Linked DNA regions of Neurospora crassa OR74A. Each later gene encodes a partner of the first gene's protein in a complex. Links are inferred from orthologs where the notes say so. Each region holds a gene or a part of one and is shown in the gene's direction. Other genes may lie near its edges.

Region 1 (7,380 bases):
CATCCTTTTCCTTTCCCCCCTCCATTCCCTGATCCCCAACCAAACCAACCACCCACACTCTCACATATATATATACCCAATCACACCCACCTCCCCCACCCCGACTTATGTACTCACGTACTTACTTACTTACTTCCTAACCTTCCTTGCATGCTTCACCAGATTCTCAATCACCCCTTCAAACGCCTCCCGATCACCAATCTTCTCATCCGTCCTCTGCTGCCAATACACCAACACCTCGGACGCCACCCCTTGCATCGCCTCCAATTTTTGAACATGCTCTTTGAGTTCCTTGTCCGTCATCCCCGAAAGCGCCTCATCCGTCGTCTCGCACAGCTGCTTGGCAGCCACTAGGTCGAATACCGGTTCGGGCGGTGGTCCCTTCCTAGCGGAACTGGAAGAGCGGTTGGCGCTTCCTTCTGTGTTTGATCCTGCGGCGGCGGCGACGGTTTTGTTGACGGGTGGTTGCTTGGATGGGTTGCGGCTTGAATTCGAAGTCGAAGTAGTGGTAAGGTTTTGGCTGTTTTGGTTGTTGCGGAAGGCAGCGGCGGCAGAGCTAGCGCGTCGCGAACGACCTGTGCGTTCGTCGTCTGCTGCGTCGGGGTCGCCTAACGAAGGCAAGACGAGTTTCTTTTGTTTGGAAGCGGGGAGGATCTCGTCTAGGTCGACGGGGACGCCGAGGGAGACGAGGAAGAGACGACGGATGCGGGAGCGGATCCAGTCGGGGGGTTGGAGTGGGGGAGGGGCGACGAGCTGTGACCAGAGGGAGGCGGAGCGGGGGTGTTGGAAGATGGGGTCGGTGATGCCGTTGGAGACATTGAGGGTGGGGATGGGGGAGGAGGAGGAGTCGTCGCCGTCGGTGTCGGGGGAGGGAGGGAAGAGAGCGTTGAGGTAAGGGGAAGTGAGGGAGAGGATCTCGGACGCGGAAAGGTGGGTGAAGTCGGGTATTTGCTAGGGGATATGTTAGTGTGTGTTGGACGTAGAGGGAGTAACTGGGTTGGGGACTTACGAAGGATAATGAGGACTGCGGTTGTTGTGGTTGCGGCTGAGGAGCAGGTGCTGGAGCTGAGAACCCTTCGGCTTCTTGGAAGTCATCGTCGTCAAAGCCGGCATCGTCAAAGTCGCCAAAGTCAGCATCGTTGTTGGCCTCGGCTCCCTCCTCAAAGTCGTCAAAGTCATCCCCAAAGTCATCGGCGCCAGCCGGAGCTGGCTCAGCAAAGTCGTCCCCAAAGTCGTCATCACCAAACCCGTCATCGTCGGGGGCTTTATCCCCTGCTTCAGCAAATCCGTCGTCGTCGTCGTTGTCGAACCCATCTTTTTCAACAGGCTTCTCCTCTTTCTGGTCAAAGCTGACATCGTCCTTCTTGTCCTCTTCTGGCTCGACCTTCTTCTCGTTCTCTTGACTGGGTTCTGCCTCGTCGAAGTGGTCCTCTGTGTCTTCTTCCTTTGTATCTTGCGTCTCAAGCTCTTCGCTGGCATCCTCGAACTCGTCTCCTTTCAATGCTTCTTCGGTGTCGCGGTCTTTTGACTGTTCCTCCTCGTGCTTCTCGTCCTCCACCTCTCCATCTTGAGCCTGCTCAGTCTTGACCTCTACATTCTCCTCCTCCTTCTTGGATTCATCTTCATCGGCGTCTTCGTCGTCGGCGGTCTTGGCGTTGTCTCGTACGACATTGTCGTGCGCGTCATCTTTTGCCTCCTCCTTTTCTAGAAGACTGGGCCCCAATGAGGGCGAGTCAGGGGATGGCTGGTCTAGATCAGATGACGAGTCTCTAGAATGGATCGAGGCGGGACTCTTTAATGCAGGTGGTATTGGTGTATCTACGCAGGAAAACGTAAAGTCAATACAAAGGAGATCTTGTATAATTTGCTGGCTCAAAAAAAAACAAACAAACAGGCATGTGCTTGTGAAAGTGTGTGTGTGTGCGCGCGCGTGTGTGTGTGGCTAGAAAGAAGTGCTACGCATCCGTACCATTGTCACCACCCTTCTCATGCTCGACCTTTTGCCCATCCGCCTTGACAAGCACGTCGGGAGGACTGTCAACCCTGTGCCTCGCTTCGATCTCATGGTGGGTGACGGCACCAGTGCTATCTGGCGTCTCCTCCACTACGGTCATGGGAATGGGGCGCCCGCCTGGAGTGGACGGCCGGCGCTGGTCATGCTCCTCGGTCGAGAGCTTGGTGTCTGGGTCTGGGATAATGGCAAATTCATCCGGCTTCGCGTCCCCTTCCCTCATAGAATACGCCTTGGTCCCCGGGACCTCTCCATACGCCGGCTTGTCGTCTACTCTCTCGACTCTTGTTCGCGGGATGGGCGAGGAGGGAGCTTTGGGAGAAGAGATGGCATCGGAGTAGTGATCTTCGGTGTCGGAGCCTGTTGTCGCGTAGAATGAATGGTTAGTTGGATATCCATGTGCCGACTTTGTCCAGAGGTCTCCCAAGTTCCCCATCAGCTGTAACCTACCAGGTAGCTCATGAGCGCCCGGGTCCATGGTCCCCTGCCTCTCGGGAGGCGACAGACTGTTCCTGCGCGAAGCCATTGTGATCTCGAAGCGTAGTCGCGGCGGTCTATACGATCAAAGAACAAGAGGATTTCCGACTATGGTGAGTGCTGAAGGAAGCGCAGAAATGTATATGGTAGGTAGGAAGCAAGATAGGTGTATGTATATGTATATGGATATGGATATGGATATGGGAGGATCGGGATCGGGGATCGGGGGGCCAAGGTGAGGACTGAGGAGTGATGTAGTTGGTGTGGGGTGCTACAGTATGTTTACTGCTGTGAGGGACAGGACTGGAGTGTCCTATAACAAGACGGGAGTAAGCCGACTCTTATACTCTGCAGGAGATAGGTCAATTGCACGCAGCAGATGGCCTGAGGTCAAAGTGAACTGAATCAAGATTGGGTATGCACACAGACGTTGCGGCTGACTTGTGGCATCCCAATGTCCAGACGATGGACAGCAATGTGTGTGGAGAGAGACGAGAGAAAGGAACAGCTTCCGGATGGCCTAGAGTTAGTCTAGAGGATGGGCTCACGATGGCCTAATCTAGAACATGGGGTAACCACCACCCCAAGCTTTCCGAGACGACTGAACGGGGCTCCTGCTTCTTGCTCGGCTACCCTGGGACGGTGCGGTACGGTACGGTACGGTATGGTACTAAGGTACCGCCGTGTCCGGAAACTGTATGGTAACTCGCTGCGTAATGTGCTGCAACCAGACGGTCCAGTCAGAATGCAGAAGAGCATCACGGCAAGTGGAAAGTCAGCACTTCGCTTCAGTTTATGAGGCCCGCCCCGTCATTGCTCAAGTTCTCCGTCAGTTGTCGAACTGCCGTCAAGCCACATATTGATTGGCCGTGCACGCTTGGCACTTGCTAGTAAAATGTTAGACGGGGTAGGTGAGGTGAGGCTGACCACTTCACCTGGGGCTGACTCGTTGCAGTGGTGACTGGAGTGCTCCAATAAGCGGGAAATGCTTGGCCTTGTTGAGTGCGCGTCCGGGTCCCCAGAAGGGGAAAAGCCCAGGCGCGCTGCAGCACCTCCAAAAAAGTGGAAAGGCCTGTCGCGACGGACGGAACCTTGACAAACAGAGACCGAGAGACTGAGTGACGCTGCCACACTTTCTTTGCTTTCTCCAATCCACGCCCAAACGACGTCCACGTCCACTCCACCAAACGGATTCCGAACCGACGTCCAAAACTCGCGATCCGATAACCACGGCTGGACCATTGCATCACTTACTCAAAACCGAGATCGCGCCGATCTTCCTCTTCGCATTTCAACGAATCGTTGCTTGGGTTTCCGCGCGCTCCCTGTTGTTGTTGAGGTAACCGCAACAGCCTTGGGAAGTGGGACGCTGTTGTTGACTTTCTAGATTTTGGTTGACGACGACTACCCAACCACCAACGCCTCATCCATCCATCCAACCAACCAACCCCGAAACCTCGACATCATATCGTCAGCCTCACATAATCGCAATCATGTCATTCTTCGGTACACCAAGCTCCAGCGCGGCCTCGGGCCAACCAGCAACAACTGCTACATCCGGTGGTCTCTTCGGAGCCTCCTCCTTCGGCACCCCAGCAGCGAGCTCGACACAGCCAGCCGGTAGCTTGTTTGGCGCTAAGCCTACAGATGCCTCGAAACCTGGAGGACTATTCGGAGCCAATACCACCTCGACTACACCTTCGCTTTTCGGCTCTGCTTCCAACACTGCCGGAGGAGGCAGCACGACGCCTGGCGCAGGCTTGTTTGGAAACACCACTGCCAACACATCGACAACCCCCGCCGCTGGTGGCTCGAACTTGTTTGGTGGCGGGGCCAGCACCACACCCGCAACAGGAGCTCCTTCGGGAGGTCTGTTTGGAAACAATGCTTCTACTACTCCGGCTACCGGTGGTCTCTTCGGAGCTGGCGCCAACTCTCAGACGACGCCGGCTAAGACCTCGTTTGGACTAGGATCGACTACCCCAGCCGGTGCACCACCTGCTGCTGACGCTTCCAAGGCCGCGCCCTCTCTCTTTGGTGCTACCCAGCCTGCCTCTGGCAACCTCTTTGGAGGAGGAGGAGCCTCGAGTACCCCGACCACAACCCCTGCCCCCACCTCGGGAACAACACCATCTCTGTTCGGAGCGAAGCCAGCCGAGACCACCACCTCTGGCACCACTTCTGGTCTCTTTGGCGCCAAGCCAGCCGAGCCTGCGTCCAGCACAACTCCCGCGACGACAGCCACTTCCGGATCTACTCTCTTTGGCGCGAAGCCTGCGACCAGCGGTGGCAGCCTGTTTGGCGGAGCCTCGACAACCCCGGCTACGACATCGACCACGACCACCACAGCACCAGCAACTTCCGGCCTCTTTGGTGCCAACACAAGCAAGCCGGCCGAAGCCGCAAAGCCAGCTACGGGTGGTCTGTTCGGCGCCACTCCTGCTACCTCAGCTCCTGCCACCTCTACCACCACTGCTGCTTCCGGCAGTCTGTTCGGCGCCAACAAGGATGCTACCACTACCTCTACTGCCCCAGCATCAGGAGGCTTGTTTGGATCGACTACGCCTTCGACGACCACAACCACGGCGCCTGCTCCTTCGTCTTCGACCACAACTAGCGGCCTCTTCGGTGCGGCCACCACCAAGCCCGCCACTACCACAGCGGCCACCACCACTGCCGGTGGGAGCACCACCGCCACTGCTGGAACCACCAGCAGTCTCTTTGGAGGAGGAGCCAAGCCTGCGGACACCACCACCTCCAAAACCACCACCAACAACACCACTACTGCCGCCGGCACCACCAGCACCACCGGCAACCTCGCCTCCACGACCACCGGCCCCACTTCTACTCTCCCGCGGTTGAAGAACAAGACCATGGATGAAATCATCACCCGCTGGGCCACCGATCTCTCCAAGTACCAGAAGGAATTCAAGTCGCAAGCCGCCAAGGTGGCCGAATGGGACCGCCTCCTGGTCGAAAACGGCGAGAAGATCCAGAAGCTGTACACCAGCACGTACGAGGCCGAAAAGGCCAGCAACGAGATCGAGCGCCAGCTCTCGGGCGTCGAGTCGCAGCAGGACGAGCTGACCGCGTGGCTGGACCAGTACGAGGCACAGCTGGAGGAGTTGTTCAAGAAGCAGCAGCTTGGATCCGGCGGCGAGTCAAAGGCTGCTGGCGGTGTTGGCGACGGCTTGGGCCCCGATCAGGAGCGCGAGAGGACGTATAAGCTTGCCGAGAAGCTGACGGATAGGCTGGATGAGATGGGCAAGGATTTGGCCAAGATGATCAAGGAGATAAATGATATGACGGGCACGTTGAGCAAGGGGAGCAAGCCTGATGATCCGGTATGTTTTTCTCTCTCCCTTTTTTTTCTCCTCCTTTTTCTCTCCTTTTTCTCCATTTTTCCCTTATTTTATCCAATCACTAACGCACACGATAAACAAAACACAACAGCTCAGCCAAATCGTCCGTGTCCTCAACGGTCACCTTCACCAGCTTCAGTGGATCGACCAAAACGCCGCCGACCTCCAAGCCAAGGTGGCCGCTGCCCAAAAGGCTACCAGCGGCATGGGTGCCCACCAAGGCGTCAACGAGTCGGATGCCGCTCAGAGCTTTTACCGCTCGTACAGGGCCGGTGGTGTGAACAGGTGAAGGGAAAGGGAAGGGAAGGGAAGGGAAATAAATGGGCTTTGATGATGCTGTATTGTAGGAAGCTAAAGTAAAGTGAAGTATGAGTGAAAGAGAAAGAGAAAGAGGCTGAAGAATCGGATGGCGGCGAACTTGTCTGTGTGTGTGTGTGTGTGTTCAGTTTTGAGTACCCTACCTACCCTAGTTTGTTGGTTTGTTGGTTTGTTGGTTTGTTTTGTTAGTCTGTGAAAGACCATCATGGTATGATTTGAAACGTCTTGTATATGTATCGTGGCTGTGGATGGGGGGGGATCGATGATGTTAATTTACGTAGCTGAGATCTGTCTGTCTGTCTGGCTTTGGGATGGGTTAGGAGACAAGAAAAAAGGCTATGCTATGCTAGGCTGGGCTAGGCCACTTATTCTAGGTTGTGGAAGCAAAAATCAATAAACAAGATGGGTTCAAGGTAATGGCCACAGTCCAAAAAGGGGTTCATTACATCTGGAAGGGAGTTCATGTGTCTGTTTTTTTCGATATATTGTCTTCATATGATGTCGAGTGAATATCATACATATCGGACTGCCGAACTGTACATATAGGTACCGACTGCCAGGAGTTTCATTTTGAAAACCGAGACGTAGAGCATCATTGTTGTGACTCAGAACGTCGGTGGGTATCAGTGAAATTTCTTATAAGACGGACTTGAAGTTGTTAATACTTCAGTAAAGTACCGTCCCGTCTGCTTTCTTTTTCATGTTCCATGTAAGTGGCATTAAGATAATGAAGAGTCTTGAGTCTGGATCAAAGTAACTAGGTTTTGAAAAAAAAAATTAGTTACGGAACTACGTAGGCTGGCTTGCTTTCCTGATAACTTCATTACTCTTCAGCCGCATTATGAGATTCTGGTTCAAGGGCAAGCCGATGAACCCAATATCGCCCCTACTGCAGCACAGGAACTGTTCGACTCGTTTTGGACTTTCTCATAAGCTCGGTTCTGTCACGGTTTTGCTTTAGACACTTGTTCGTCCCATTGATGCAACTTGTGAGGTCCATAGGTCCCCCGGTCGTGATTTTGTGATCATCGATCATGGCTTTGCTCGCTATATTGCTACAAGGGGTAAGTTTGAGATATGTGTAAGATGACACTCATCCTCGGCGCGCCGTCCGTCCCCGTAGCCCAAGTCCCATCCTTTCTTAACCCCCCCAAATCCTTGGCCCCTTCTCATTTCATTGCATTCATACTGCGTAGGCGTAGTGGCGTGTGT
Region 2 (7,034 bases), on another chromosome or scaffold:
CTGATGCGGGAGTGCAGCTCGGCAGCGTAGCGGGCTTGGGCGGGGTGGTTGGGGAGGTGATAGATGTGGACGTCGCTTTGGGGAGTGTTAGTGAACTTACAAAGGGAGAAGGGAAAGAGGGAAAGAAAAGGCAACGAGGGGGGTATAGGCTCGTACAAGGCACCTCGTCGCCCGTTATCTAGAGGCTCGGGAAACTTTTCGTAGGCGCTGCTGAGCACGCCGGTTTGGTTGTTGAGGAGGCTCTTGCCGTCTTCGGCCTTTTCGGTGGGGAGGGGAGGGGCATTTTCGTAGCCTTCTAGGGGGGATTTGTAAGTTGGTCTTTGAGAGGGCATGTTGTTGTTGTTTGTTTTAGGAGTTTAGAGTCTAGAGTCTCTGGCTGAATGGGTTTGGGGTGAGCTGGTCGGGGTTGATTCTAAATTGAATTTTAGGGTACTGCGTCAACTCGGATGTGAACTGAAGTAAATAGGTGAGAACTATGTTAGGGTCAAGTTGAAGTCAAATATGGTGTCCGAATAGCTTCATCGACGTGATTCTCTCATGAGTAAGCATTACGAAGGTGACAATACGGATGACAAATAATGGCGGTCGTTTAAATGCCACGCTATGGGGTCCCGGCATGGCATCATTCCAGCATCCCACCCGTGGCCGAATGGCGATCCCGTCCGGGGAAGCCCCACCCCCGCACGGCGGCATCCCGACTGGACAGTCGGCACACGGGACCCCACGAGTTCCATGCCCCTCCGCTCACTTGGCCGGGAATGGCGACTCGACGAGAAGCAAAATCAGTAACCAAAATTCCAGTCCGAGGTATTCACACGTGTCAGTATCAGTTATGTGAATCCACGCTAATATGAGAATGATAAGCCTCCTGCTTGTTGTTGTGAGAATAATTATAGTACAATAACAAATGCCTATTACGCCGGTGTAATAGTAATAATACTCCGAAACAATGCTGACATGTAACAAGTAGTGAGAGAAAGTATGAACCATGCGCCTGCCTAGCCTCCTGTGGCCTTCTTGAACGCCATGCCCAAACCCTTGGTATCGGAACCTGACCCAAGCCATGACTGAAGCAAATCCTTTTCGTACCAAACAGTTCCATATTCATGTAAACCCTTTCCTTCTATCCCAGCAATGTGAAAATACGTCCCTTGGAAACCAGTCCATGCTCGGAAATGCGCAGCAACAAAATCGAATGCTCGACACGACATCGTGTCGATGTCCCCTAAACCGTAATAAAGCCGTAACAAAAGTGAGAAATCATGTAACAATACGATGTCGCGCCTGCAATGATAACAAACTGGTCGTCCCAGTCCCCATACAGTGATTCGATTTAACCAGCAGTGAGCCAAGGTCGAAACACGGTATCCTCGACTTTGAGGTGCCGAAAACTTAAGCGGAAGAAGCAGGCTCAGCGGAAGCTATGCCCTTGTCGTTCGCATCCAAAGAGCCAGAGACATCGTCGTTGGGGCCAAAGTCGGAAGGGCTAGTGCTAACCTGCTCGCCAGTCGCCACATCGACAAGCTTATCACCGTCGACCTCGACCTCTCTGTTGCCGATGCGACGCATCAAATCCAGGAAAGTCGACTTTTGAAATTTCTCGGACTGGTTGTCGGCGACCGAGGTCAAAATGGCGTTGGCTGCCTTGGCCAGCTCCTCGTTGCCCTCGCGACGACGAGCCTCGGCTTCTTCCTTGGCTTCCATCTCTTCAGCGAGGTTCTCCAGATCAGCATCGATAGTGGCCATTTCCTCGTCGGTGGGGGGGCCGACTTTGGTGTTGTTCTCGGCGCTCGGACCGTGCTGCGCCATCCACTCGGCCTCGGCAGCCTCAAACTCCTGCTGAGCTTGCTGAGCCTTCTCGGCCTTTTCCTTCTCGGCCCACTCAGCAAGTTCTTGCTCAAAGGAAGACTCGTCGTACTCGCCAAAGGCTTTGTTAAAGGCTTCGATGTCAAGTGCCGACTCGACGTGGTCGTTGAGGCCGAACTGAGGCTGCTGATGAGTGAAGTTGTTCGTGGCTGTGCCATGCATGACAAAAGGATCGTCCATGGACAATCCCATTCCCATTCCCATTCCCGTACCCACACCCATTCCCATACCGCCGAACTGGCGAGTGTTGTAGGCCATATGGTCGTCCTGCAAGCCCATCATGGAGTTGTGGGTTGCAGTAGACATGGCTGCCGGCATGGCTTGAGGTGACATGGCCGGGGCCGCGTGAGCTGTGTCCTGACGGAGCTGCATGCTGGCGAACTGGTCGACCCAGCCGTGGGCAGCGGCACGGGAGGAGTGCATGGGACTGGCCGTAGCCGGCGCACCTCCGACCGCATGACCAAAGACACCAGGCGCTGGACCAGCATGAAAAGCCGGGACGCCTGGGTTGTTCAGGAACGTATTATTCGCAAGGCCGAGGGAAGGACCCGGGGCGTCGAGCATAGGGGCTTGCTGAAAGGTCTCAAAGGCACCATCAGCAGCGAAGGAGGGGCGGTTTCTGAAGGACTGGATGGGTTGTTAGCACCGAGTTACGCTGGATATTCTACGACAAGACAAAACAAAAGAAAGCGATCATATCATACAGCACCGGCAGCCGAGTTGGGCGAGTTGACCAGGCGGTCCTGGTGAAGAGTGCGGTCGCGATCAGCGTGCGCAAGAAGGTTCTTGGCACCGTTGGACGGGCCGCACATGCTGTCAGACATGTTGAGCGAGGTTTGACTTGTTGGAAGCAAAAAGGCGAGAAGCGCGGGTGACGGTAAGTTTCGAGAAAGAAATTACAAAAGTAGAAGGTTTTATAAATAAAGAGTGAGGAACGAAATGTCCTTGAAGAGAGTATATAATTATTGTAGAGCGAGGAAGACTTGGATGAGTGAGCGAAAGGAGAGTTGTAAGTTGTAAGTAATGTAGATTAGTGGCGCGAAAGTAGAAGCCGAGGTTCTTTGAACAGCGCGATAGTAGTCACCGAACCCGCCGGTATCTCAAGTCTTCAACGCTAAGTATTTGGAGAAAAGTAGTTGGAGAGGGGGGAAGATGGAAACGAGAAAAAAAAGAGTAAACAACGCCGGACCTAATACCACGAAAAGGACGCGACTGATTACTGTGTGTAAAGAAATCCTTTTAGCAAGCAAACAAAAAGCGTCGCTGATTTTGAACAAGTAATTCTGGAAGAAGGGTCAAAATGGTCAGGTCTGGTTGAGTGAGATTCCATCCCAACTTTTTGTGACGGGAGTGAACGCTGCCACGGCACTGGCGAAATTCCCGTCGGGGTAGCCATGCGCTCACACGCTATCATGTGCACGGCATGTTCAGTGGACTTTTACAGCGGGACGGGAGAGCCCAGGCGACGCGTGGGGTCGTCAACGGGCCCCTGCCTCACCTGCCCCACCTTGGTTGTCTCAACAAGAGTCCACTTCGAGCCTCCGACCTGGTTACAATAACGTCACACCACGGTGAGCCTACGAGGAAACCGACAAAGGCTCCACTCACCTTGCTCACCTTGCTCACCTTGACTTCTTGCCAGCTGGACCACATCGCTCGACAGGGATCACTGCGCAAGCGTCAAGTGGAAGCTCCAGCGCAGCAAGACGGGTTCACCTATCGTGTCGCCTGGGCGTCCACTGCCTGTAGCTTGCAGCTTCCATTCCCAATGCCCGTCCGTGGTGATCCAACTTAACAGCAACTGAATCCCCAACGACGGCCCTTTTTCCTTTCTACTACTCTGAGTAGTGTACTTTATAACTCCAGTCTGAATTCATTCATCACCCAAAGGACGCAAATACAACTCCATACAAATCTATTTGTCTTTTCCACAATCTTCAATACTCCATAATTAATCAACATGGTACGTCCTCTTACACCCCCAAAGCTGCCGGCGGCGTCCCTCCCCCTTACTTGGCTACCTATCCACTAACATGAAGCTATCGCGACAATGACAGACCGCAGGCGCACAGGTTATCGCCAACTCTGGCCACGATGATATGATTGTACGCTGAACATCGCCCCCTCGACGTTTCCCGACAACCATCCCTCTGTTTCTAACCGACCCTCGCAGCACGATGCAGTTCTCGACTACTACGGCAGGAGGTTAGCGACATGCTCCTCGGATCGCACCATCAAGATCTTCGAGATCGAGGGCGAATCACAGCGACTTGTTGAGACATTGAAGGGGTATGTTTGCGATGGGCTACAGTCACCAAACAATATGGACAATGGGTTAACCTCCCTTCTTCCGACAGACACGATGGCGCAGTTTGGTCCGTAGCATGGGCGCACCCCAAGTACGGCAACATCCTCGCCTCGGCAGGCTACGACGGCAAGGTTCTCATTTGGCGCGAGCAAGCCGGCAGCTGGCAGCGCATCTTCGACTTCGCCCTACACAAGGCTAGCGTCAACATCGTGTCCTGGTCTCCCCACGAAGCCGGATGCCTCTTGGCCTGCGCCTCTTCGGACGGCAACGTCAGCGTTCTCGAATTCAAGGATAACAGCTGGGAGCACAACATCTTCCACGCCCATGGCCTGGGCGTCAACTCGGTCTCGTGGGCCCCCGCCACCACCCCCGGCAGCATCGTCAGCAGCAACCCCGGCCCCGGCTCGACGGGCAACAGACGCTTCGTGACTGGCGGTTCCGACAACCTGCTCAAGATCTGGACCTTCGACCCCGCGACCAACGGATACAAGCTCGAGCGCGAGCCCCTGGCGGGTCATACAGATTGGGTGCGCGACGTTGCGTGGAGCCCGACTGTGCTTCAGAAGAGCTATATCGCAAGCGCCTCGCAGGACAAGACGGTGCGCATCTGGACGAGTGACGCGGCGAACCCGGGCGAGTGGAAGTGCAAGGTTCTCAACTTTGATGCGGCCGTCTGGCGCGTTAGCTGGTCGCTCAGCGGAAACGTGCTGGCCGCCAGCAGTGACAACAACAAGGTCACACTATGGAAGGAGAACCTTAAGGGCGAGTGGGAGAACGTCAAGACCATTGAGGAGTAAAATCACATGGGAATTCGGTCACGTTATGATGATGATGGGTGGCGAGCGTTAGCATAATATTGGTAGGTAGGATATCTACTCATCATCCAGAGTGGGCGTTATCGGGTAATAAATAAGGGAGGCCAGCGAAAAGGAGCAGGCTTACCTTCGGTTTCACAAGAACATATCCAGGTTGGCTTCACATGAACCGCTCGGGACAATGAAGAGATCATACCGAGTTTTATCTTACACTATCACATTACCTCGGGCTTACGGGGAGTACATTTGACCCAGTACATCCCACCTCCCAAGTCATCAACGCGCCTTATCCATCTTCTCTTCCAACCATCCCAACACAATCTCCCTTCCCCTCTCATCCAGATCCCCAACACCTTCCAAATCGCCAATCGCCATGTCCTGATCGTCCACCACGCCCACGTCCGCCACCTTGACCCTCCTCGCCGCCTCCAGCTCCCAGTGGTGGAGGTCGATCAAGTAATCCTCGTCCCACTTCCGCCGCTCTTTGAGTTCCAACATCTCAATGCTCCGCTGCATCAGCAGCGCCAGTTCGTACGCTTGCGTGCGGAAGCTGTTCTCGCCAGCGGTGATGGCGACCGGGGGTTTGCGGTGTTTTCGCGTTTTGAGACGAGGGCGGGGTTTCTTCTTTTCCTCTGCTTCGCCTTGTGCTGAGTCGCCCTCTTCGTATTTCTCTCCCTGGCCTTCTTCTTCTTCTTCTTCTTCCTCCCCCTTTATCTTCTTCTGCTTCTGCTTCTGAACACCACTAAGTCCCTTTTGATTTCTGTTCCGGGCCGCGGCATCAACAACCCCATCATCCTTCCCCCCCTCCGACGACCCAATCTTCGCCAAAGCATCACACTTGAACGGCAACTCCGCCGACGGCGTCTCATACAACAATAACGTATCCGGCAGCTTAAGCATGGAGTGCCTCGGCGGGAAATGCACATAGCTCTTACGTGGGAACTTGCCAGGTAGAATCTCTACCTTGAGAGTTTGTTGGAGCATGTCTTCGGCCGCTACCTCGTCCGGCTCGCCTTCGGCGTCGTTGATCATCGACATGTGCATACGGTAGTGCTCCGAGTGCTCCGAGTTGTCGGGATCGAGGTCGTCGGTGGGGTTTTGGCTGGCTGGGAGGGGCGACGGAGCCGGAGGTTGGTGAGGAGGGGGAGTAGAGGGGGAAGTCAATGGGTCGTGGGGTTCGCTGGGGACGTCCGCGGGGACGTTGATGTCGCCGCTGCTGACACCATTGGCGCCGGTACCGGCACCGGTAATCAATGGCCCTGGAGGTGGCGGAAAAAGCCATTCAGGAACATACTTCTCATCAAAAGTCGTCGGAACAAAAAGTCCCGCCGTGTGGAAAAACAGACAAGCGCTAGCAAAGCTGTCAAACAGTCCCGACGGCGAGCCAAAGAGATCTTCGAGCCGACGCTGATAATGGGCAATGATGGGTGAGGTGGCAGCCGGTCCTGCATCTTTGTCGAGGTCGCGGTTCAGCTTGTGCAGCTGCTCCTCGATAAGGATGCGGTCGTCGCCCTTGGGCCGGTGGATCGGGTGGTCAGGCAAGAAAGTGGTCCAGTCGTAGATGCCGTTGTAGGCGAGGAGACCGCGTACGGCCATGCGCGCGTGTGGGTACGACTCGGTGAGAGCCAGCCCGGCGGCCAGACTGGCGCCAAGGTAGGAGCCGCAGATGTAGACGTCTTTGCGTTTGGGGTATCTTGGTTGGAGGTTTTGAATGATCCAGGAGTAGCCAAAGAGAACGTCGTGGATAGGGGTGGGCCAGTGAAGGGGAGTTATGCTGATATCTTCTTCCTCTTCCTTGGGTAGTCGCTCTTCTTCTTTGCTATTAGGCGTCTCGCTCGATTGATATCCTTCATCGTCAAAATCGGGCTCTTCAATCTTTGGCTTGAGTTTTGGCTGTGGTCTGTCGTCGTATAAGCCAGACCATCTATAGTGAATGACAGCGGCCGAGTATGTGTGAAGCCATGATGGGAGTTGATAGTTCGGGTCAGTCTCGTCCCGAGCAGCAAAGGGCGGGATCCAGATGATTAAAGGATCGGTTGGCGGCC

What was found.
Region 2: NCU02808 (region 1) and NCU04063 share a complex: the UniProt entries of both Schizosaccharomyces pombe proteins name them as parts of the nuclear pore complex. The link is inferred for Neurospora crassa OR74A from reciprocal best matches to the Schizosaccharomyces pombe genes nsp1 and sec13.

What each region holds. Positions count from the first base shown.
Region 1 is NC_026501.1:9,050,623-9,058,002, forward strand, and holds NCU02808 (hypothetical protein), read left to right. Parts: upstream 1-3,374; 5' UTR 3,375-3,981; coding exon 3,982-5,832; intron 5,833-5,941; coding exon 5,942-6,139; 3' UTR 6,140-6,489; downstream 6,490-7,380. Other genes in the region: NCU02809 (hypothetical protein), read right to left, coding at 130-951, 1,010-1,818, 1,970-2,371, 2,462-2,537. UniProt on the Schizosaccharomyces pombe protein: Functions as a component of the nuclear pore complex (NPC).
Region 2 is NC_026506.1:2,619,678-2,626,711, forward strand, and holds NCU04063 (protein transporter sec-13), read left to right. Parts: upstream 1-3,604; 5' UTR 3,605-3,826; coding exon 3,827-3,829; intron 3,830-3,923; coding exon 3,924-3,971; intron 3,972-4,039; coding exon 4,040-4,155; intron 4,156-4,223; coding exon 4,224-4,971; 3' UTR 4,972-5,265; downstream 5,266-7,034. Other genes in the region: NCU04061 (hypothetical protein), read right to left, coding at 1-75, 157-332; pex20 (peroxisome biogenesis factor 20), read right to left, coding at 1,393-2,493, 2,571-2,690; NCU04064 (hypothetical protein), read right to left, coding at 5,266-7,034. UniProt on the Schizosaccharomyces pombe protein: Component of the coat protein complex II (COPII) which promotes the formation of transport vesicles from the endoplasmic reticulum (ER).